2 linked regions of the Lepisosteus oculatus genome follow. Each later gene encodes a partner of the first gene's protein in a complex. Links are inferred from orthologs where the notes say so. Each region holds a gene or a part of one and is shown on either strand. Other genes may lie near its edges.

The links.
Region 2: odad3 (region 1) and clxn share a complex: the UniProt entries of both Homo sapiens proteins name them as parts of the outer dynein arm-docking complex. The link is inferred for Lepisosteus oculatus from reciprocal best matches to the Homo sapiens genes ODAD3 and CLXN.

Annotation. Positions count from the first base shown.
Region 1 is NC_090706.1:17,752,614-17,756,537, reverse strand, and holds the start of odad3 (coiled-coil domain-containing protein 151), read left to right. Parts: upstream 1-1,270; 5' UTR 1,271-1,810; coding exon 1,811-1,895; intron 1,896-3,213; coding exon 3,214-3,335; intron 3,336-3,924. UniProt on the Homo sapiens protein: Component of the outer dynein arm-docking complex (ODA-DC) that mediates outer dynein arms (ODA) binding onto the doublet microtubule. Involved in mediating assembly of both ODAs and their axonemal docking complex onto ciliary microtubules.
Region 2 is NC_090705.1:5,005,627-5,009,550, forward strand, and holds the start of clxn (calaxin), read left to right. Parts: upstream 1-1,041; 5' UTR 1,042-1,103; coding exon 1,104-1,179; intron 1,180-2,728; coding exon 2,729-2,884; intron 2,885-3,317; coding exon 3,318-3,422; intron 3,423-3,924. UniProt on the Homo sapiens protein: Component of the outer dynein arm-docking complex (ODA-DC) that mediates outer dynein arms (ODA) binding onto the doublet microtubule. Seems to regulate the assembly of both ODAs and their axonemal docking complex onto ciliary microtubules.

The sequences.
Region 1 (3,924 bases):
ACTGATGTTGGTGTTTATGCTTCCACCAATCAGTTGGCATGAGTACAGATTGGTCTGATCAGCAATTAGCTCAAAAATCGCATTATTAAAGAATTTGGAAAAATAGGTTGGTGGAGAAAAGATTCCATCTTGTGCCATGAAATATGTTGGTGTTGCAGCTGACTGGTGTTCAAAATCGTTTTTTTTTTCCACCTAGAAAGGAATGAAATATATAATGGTTTATTGGAAACCACTCACACTCCCCTTTTTTGCTCACTATACATTCTATAAATAACATGTATTACTTCCATGTACACATTCTCATGGTCAGTTAGCAGTCTTGGACATAATATTTTTGTCTGGGTTCTAGTCCACATGCATACATTCATGTACAGTAAGTGCACACACCCACATGAACACACAGTATATAGTGTTACTTTATCAACAATATCCTATTTAATGGTTTACATCACCTACATTTCTTAATTTGTATGGACAGGTGTCCTTCTGCTGCCTCAACATTACAGCTACAGTCACTACTGCTATCCTCACTGCTAATGCTGCTATCTTCTCTTCGGCCTTCTGCATCTACATAGGCTTCATCATCTTCCTCACTTGTCCCTTGCTCTGAATCTGAAGAGCCAACAGGTGGCTGAATCCCTCTCCTAGGCCTACTATAAAATATCTTTGTGGAAATTCCCTGAAATAGTTAGTAAATAGTAATAGTTAGCACCTTTATGTGATGAAAGCATTTCAGTTGTTGTTATTTAATATCTAATACTTATGGCCTTTAAAAGAACAGGCACACATAGTGCTATTAATGACTGTTTTACACCCCCATTTAGGCAACGTATCCCAGGGGATACAGATATTTAATGTCAGATTTGGAGAACAGTACAAATATAATTCACATTTTTTTTTCATATTAACATGTCATATCATGCTTAAAAATGAATAGCTTATAAAAATGTCCCCCCAAAATTTGTGTTATGTATAAAATAAATACAGGTACTCACCATATGGTCAGTGAAGCCTTCTCCATCTTCCATCACAACAGATTCAGAAAGGAGTGACAAGTCTATCCCAGAATGCTCAGATGAAATCACATGACCTAAGTCCTTAACACATGACTCCCTCGTATGTTTTAATTGGATAAAAAAACACATGTTCCTAGCCCCTCCCACAGCTGGTCAAAATGTCTGTATCCAGCAGGATACAATATCCATTAAAGGGTATTGTAACTTTTAATGACGTTACATTTAAAGTTTAAATCTTTTGAACGCAGGGAGCAGGGAATCCAGCTGCAGGTTGTTGAAATGTTATGCAAACGGGAAGAAACTGCTCCAATTACGAAGTTCTCCAAGATAGGTAGCTGTTGTAACGTAAGGAGACTTAGAAACACTGATAGTAAGAACCAGCGATGCGAATCATGGCAGTGCAATGAGGTGTATTTTGAAAGATGCTCGGTGTAGGAGATAGTAGTGTGCACGGCCATGATCGTCTTCAACTACAACGCCCAGCATGCATTGCGGTGGAACTTTTTCCTGGCAACGTGATTTGTTTATCTCCCACTGTGGCCATGGAGATGGATGGCTGTTGCTGGGCACCCAGACAAGCTCCTAGTGTTTCACAGCTCCAGCCTAGGTAGCTGTGTGAAGAAGGCCCGAGTCCTTACAAGAGGAAAAATTCATTTTACCGAAACTCGGCGCCAGCGCAGCACACTGAAATAACGGTGGCACCCGAAAGCTCTGGGTGCTAGGTCGACGTTATCGGCGTCAGGCATAGGGTTATTCACATTATCTTTTTCACATTCAAGGCGCACCTGGTAAACATGCCTCTCTCGTTTAATACTGACGCAATTAAGCCTCCTCTACACGAGCAGATATCGGAGCTCCAAAGGAAAATTCAGCTTCTTGGTAGGTATTTCTTTTCATTAACGTTGGACTGATATTAGCCTGTCATCTGAGTGAAGCAGTTAAACGCGTCCCTTAAAGTCCCTTAGCTAGAAACTTGAGTTCGTCTGGTTTAAATTAATTGTACGCACCACGGTGCATAAAATACAATTTTAAAGAAACGTGTTAACTTAAAATCGGCAACTTTCGCGTAATTTAACAAAGGTGTGAGTTAAAGTTGATTTTGTAGGCGCTTTATCTCGACTTTTACTGTACAGTCGTACTGTACAGTAAGTAGTACATAAATAGTAGATTATGTAAGGATAGTGTTAGAGTTGGCAAGAACTTGTCATGATAAAACGTGGACCATATCAGTCGCTTGGAAGGACGAGCCTTCAAAGTTTATAGGGCATGACTAAACTAAAACATTGCAGCTAACGCTGGGTGGGGGCCGCGCAGAAAGTGGGAGATTTGCGCACCAGACTCAATTCAATTCAACTTTATTGTCATTATACTTACACAGGTGCATAGTATAATGAAAAGTGTTTCTCATTAGTCGGTCAGGTGCAGTATATAAACAGGACAAAAGATAAGACAATAGACTAACACAATAACAATAACAGTAACGTGTACTACCATAACGTAATCAAAACTGTGCAAAATCCGCAAACAGAGAAAATATAACAGGACAAAAACAGTGCAAGGTAATTCGGGGAACAGTGCAAAAATACTTTTGATTAATAAATATTACAACTATAGTTGTGTAGTGGTGTTGGAGTACAGTCCTTGTGGGTACAGGAAGAAGTTAGGAGAGATCATAGTATGATGGGAGGGAGTGGGGGCATCACCAACTTGACAGCTCTGGGGAAGGACGCCTTGCACATCTTATTATGAATCAACCACCTGTGCGTTCGAGATGCCGGCGGGTTATTGTAATATCTGCGCTCTCCTGACAATATCAGCGTTCCGCGATTTCTCTGTACCCCAGAAGAGTCATTATTTCTCAGCATCTTATCGGTGCTGACTGTTTTCTGTTCTCCAGCATTGCCTGTACAATGCGTGTTCATCCGTGGGGGTGGGGATGGTGGAAACATCCAAAACCACACAGGTGGTTTCTGTTCTCATACCAGCTACTTCGGTGTCTAAGCTGCCACACGTCTGCTAGCTACACTGCATTTTTAAAGCACGTTGTGCGGGGAAAACCATTCTGCATAGCTCTAATAAAAGCACAAAAGAGCCTGGTGGTGATTTACTGCAACAGTATGTGTTACAGTAGATTTTTTTATGGTTTTGATATTGAGGAAGAGTGGAGAGTCTAACGTATGACATTTCTGACTCGCAGAGGGGGACAGAAGCGCTTACTATGAGAGCTCCCAGTGGACCATCAAGAAGAACAAGGAAGCCATCCTGCAGCTCCGTCAGGAGAACAAGAGGCTACATAAGAAGTTGGCTGAAGCCTTAGCAGTAAGATGGTTTAGGATAAGAAGCCATTGGCCTCTTGCCTCGCAGCACAAACAGACATCATGTGTCTGTGCTACAATGGTCCTGCCGACTAGTTCATGTGAGGCAGGAATAGAGATTGGATCATTTTACATCCGCATTCTGGTTCTGTGCTTCACAAATCTAGACTTGGGGCTAATAAACTTTGCACACTGGGGCCTTGGAAGACCAGGGACAGTCGGAGTCTAGGCTGGGATCTCTTTGGAAGACCAAGTTTATACTTCCAAAACATCTACTTCTCAAGTTCCAGCTTGGGGTTCATCAACCCCCCTTTAATTAATTGTTTTAAAGGAAGTTTTATTTTGTGAACTTGGTTTAAGTCAGGTTCAAATGACAGCGATGCATAGGGTGGTTTCCTAGCTCATGGTCCATTTTTTGAAGGGCAGTTAAAAAGATAATTTTTCAGTGAATTTGGCAGAGAGCTGCATTTCTGAACAAGGCCCATGTGAAGCTGAGAACCCGGTGAAACAGTAATTGGGAATACTGGATTGAGGGGATGATGGAAGAGGAGATATAACACAGTTTCTAACTTTCTGCAATGTGCTGTCTGGTT
Region 2 (3,924 bases), on another chromosome or scaffold:
CCACCAGGAAGAGGGTCATAGCCATGGGCTCACCTTGGGCTCCTTAGTGAATTCCCAGAGGTTCCCTAGAAACAGATAAAGTGCTCAAACTCAACACTTCTATGCAATGGTTTTCATCTTGGAAAGGCTCATGATTAGGATTTATTTTTAAGTGATTTTTTTTTTGCAATAGTGTAGTATTGTGTGGTCATCAGGAGTAAAGGGAAGTTTTAATCGGAATAAGCAGTAAATGATTATGCCCACAAGGGGGAGTAATACTCTGTTTGCTGTAGACTACAGTACAAGAATGCAAGAAACAGCGCTCCTTCCTCTCTCCAAGCCACTGTATCATATCATTCGCTGTTACTTGCAAATCAGAGTGATTGGTTGAAAAGTGGGTCCATCAGGATTTTTTTCTCCAGCTAATTCTTATTTACCGAAGTGATTAGCAGCACTTGTGTTAATTAAGCCATCTATCCTCGCGATGCAGTACCTAGAGCAGTGAGCCTCCGTCTTGGTCCTGGGCTATTAATGTACCTGCTGTTTCTCGTTCAAACTGGGCTCTTCATTTCGGGTCCTAATTTATTTGAACTTTTCTGCACTTATAGGTTTCAAACTACCCTTGAGTATTTTGCTAATAACTTCAACACAAAAAAACTTTAGACAGTTCCTCCTCAGCTTTCTACTAACGAATGTGTCTCTTATTTCTGTCTAAAAAGCTCTCAACGGGTGATCCATTAATAACGAGCGGAGACTGATAGGACTGATAATGCACCTGAATGAGGGAGGTTCTGAAATTAAGAACTGGAAACAGGTTGATACCAATTGCAAAGTCCGTACGACGTTTTAAAAGAAAATTGAAATAACTGACCTAGAGTCGAGAAGGATGTTTCTCTCCTTTGAAATGCCATTGAAAAGTGCTTTTTTCAGTCTTGCAATCCCTGTATGAAGTGACGTCACAGGCAGGAGCTCCGCTGCGCACCGACGGCTCGTTCTCAAAGCGGATTGGCGTTTCCATAGCAACAGCCGTCCCAACAGGACTAGGGTTGACGCCAGGTCTGTGTTTTCTACCGTCCTACTTTTCTTGTTAAAGACGTCGAAATCGGGGGAAAAAAATCGCGAAAATGTCGGAAATGTCGGCGATGAACAGAAAAAATATACAAAAACTTGCAGAATCCCTGTCTAGACAAGTGAAACACTGTAAGTACAGTACACGCAGTACCTTGTTCGTGTGCCATTGAACTCAGCTCTAAGGAAGTGCTGTGTATCTCTTTGATATTGAAAGAAATAGATACTATTTCGTGAATTGCACCTTGTTTCCGTGAGTAACGTGCTCTTTGATTATGACAAGAAGAGCGACTTTCATAAATATGCCTTAGATTTTCTGTTGAATAGCCAGTTTGCAGTATCCATTTTAAACGTGAACGGCGATGGAGAAAGTTAATTAACCTCAGAGTTAGTCTAGATAAACTTTCCCAGAAGCTCAACCAGCGGAGCTTGTATGTTTTTATATGTAAGAGGAGAACACGAATGATTCATAACGTCTTATTCGACTCAAACTTCATGTGTACTTTACATCATGGGACCAGAAGTCAGGCGTTTGAACTTGTAATTAACAAGATCGATCGTGGGTTCCAGTGCCAGACGAGACACGGCTGTTGATCCTCACTTCAAATTGAAGTTCAATTTCCCCACTAAAAATACCGAACTGTTAAAACTGATACAAATACAGATTAAAAGGTTAAAAGCGTCGGCCGTATAACAACTGTAATTATTCCCTGATGAGGGTGGCACAGTGGTTAGTGTTATGTCGCAGGTTCAATGCCGGAGCTGGGGTGCTATTTTCGAGGAGTTAGTGTGTTTTTGTGGGTTTCCTTCCACAGTCCAAAGACATACTGGTAAGTGAATTGGCTTCTGGGAAAACTTACCCTAGTGTGTGTGTGTGTGCATGCCTTGCGATGGACTGGCGTCCTGACCAGGGCGTCGCCTGCCTTGTGCCCGTTGCTTGCAACAATAGGCTCCGGCTCTCCCGTGACCCTGAATTGGAAATAAGATAAGATCACTTTATTACCAATATACAATTTCTTGTATTTGGAATTTGTCTTTTCATATACCCCAACTTGCTCTCCATGAGACACACAGGCGGGGAGAGAGAAGCTTGGGGTCAGAGCGCAGGGTCAGCCATTTATAAAGCAACCCTGGAGCAGTTGGGGTTAAGGGCCTTTCCCCCTGAGCAACAGAGTAGGATTCCTCTGCCAGCCACAGGATTTGAACTGGCAACCTTCCAGCCACAGGCACAGATCCTTAGCCACAGAGCCACTGCCCTCAAATAGTGGTTAGAAAAGGATGGATGGATTATTTCCTGCTTATAATAATGCCTTCAGTGGAACTTTACAAATTAATTAGTGATTGATTGAAAAGTGGGTCCATCAGAATTTTTTTCTTCAGCTAATTCTTATTTACCAAAGTGATAAATTCCATTGGGAATTACCAATGTGAAGTCTTCAAATAACTCATACATAGAAGTAGGAGTTCAAATCATCATCCCTTCTCAATTTTCCTTTTTCTTTCAAGCTTCTGCAATGTTTTGTAATATATCACTGTCTAAACAGCACAATAACTCGCATTGAATTTTGTCTGATATGGGGATGCTTCTATTTTCATCATGTACAATAAGCTGTATTACTATACAAATCCATCATCATGGGCTAGAGCCGATCTGTCTTGTCTTCCAACATGCTGCGCCCAGTCGACAGGAACGAGACAGAAAGTTTGATCACGCTGTTCAACGCGCTGCTGGGGGAGCAGAGCGACAGGCGGGCAGGAAGTGGCCTGGACCGGGGACGCTTCAGGAACGTGCTGCACAACACATTTGGAATGACGGACGACATGATTATGGACAGAGGTGAGCTTCCAGCTGCTGGTCGCACACATGAAAGAGGTTTACCGTAAGAATATTTTTTAAAACCATCCTTTTTTTCCCCCCTCCAATAGTTATTAGCAAAAGAGGATGCTCTTGTGGTTTGTTTTTTTTTTTTTATTGTAAAAATAAATTCGTAGATGACATACATGTACTAAGGAAGAAAATCTCTGTTGAGAGCCCATTTCTCAGGCAACAGTACAAAATGATCTTTAAGGTTTTCAATATCTGCATCGTCTGTAGATGGGTGTATGAGAGTCTGTTTTTTTTTTTTCCAAAAATGGCTTAACATTCTGTATTAACATTTTAACAGATGGGTTACTTTTAGAAAGAATTAGATAGGTCAAAGTCAACATTTTCTATGGTGTTCAGCATGTTTCGCTTACAATGTGAAAATTGTTTTTAATTTTGAATTTAGTCTTTCGTGCCTTTGACAAGGACAACGACAGTTACATCAGCATAAAAGAATGGGTGGAGGGACTGTCTGTGTTTCTGCGTGGGACCTTGGATGAAAAGATAAAATGTATGCGAGTATGTTGTCTGTTCACCTATACTTTTAAGATAGCCTCCATGTTGATTCTGAATAGAATATATTTCAAGATTCAAGAATCTTGAATCAAGTATTGGAATGCTTACTTGTTCAGATGTACCCAGTAACAGTAGAGAAATAAAAAAAAAATAGGCACAAATGACAAACAGACATGGACAATCAACTAGACAATAGACGTTATAATACAGCCAAGACAGAACATAGTGCAAAAACAGTGCAGTAGCTTGAAATGCAGGTGCTAATTTGAGCTGTTTATGATGCGGACAGCTTGGGGGAAGAAACCGTTTTTGAATCTATTGGTCAGTGTTCTGATACTGCGACACCTCCTACCAGAACCCAGGGGTGAAAGTATGGTAGGGAAAATAAGAGTATGTTCATTCGCCCCAAATGTTTTTTTTTTATAAATGATAACATTGCTTATCGTGACAGCCAGATTAACATGATGCTGTAGTCTCAGTGCTTTCCAAGTTACAAT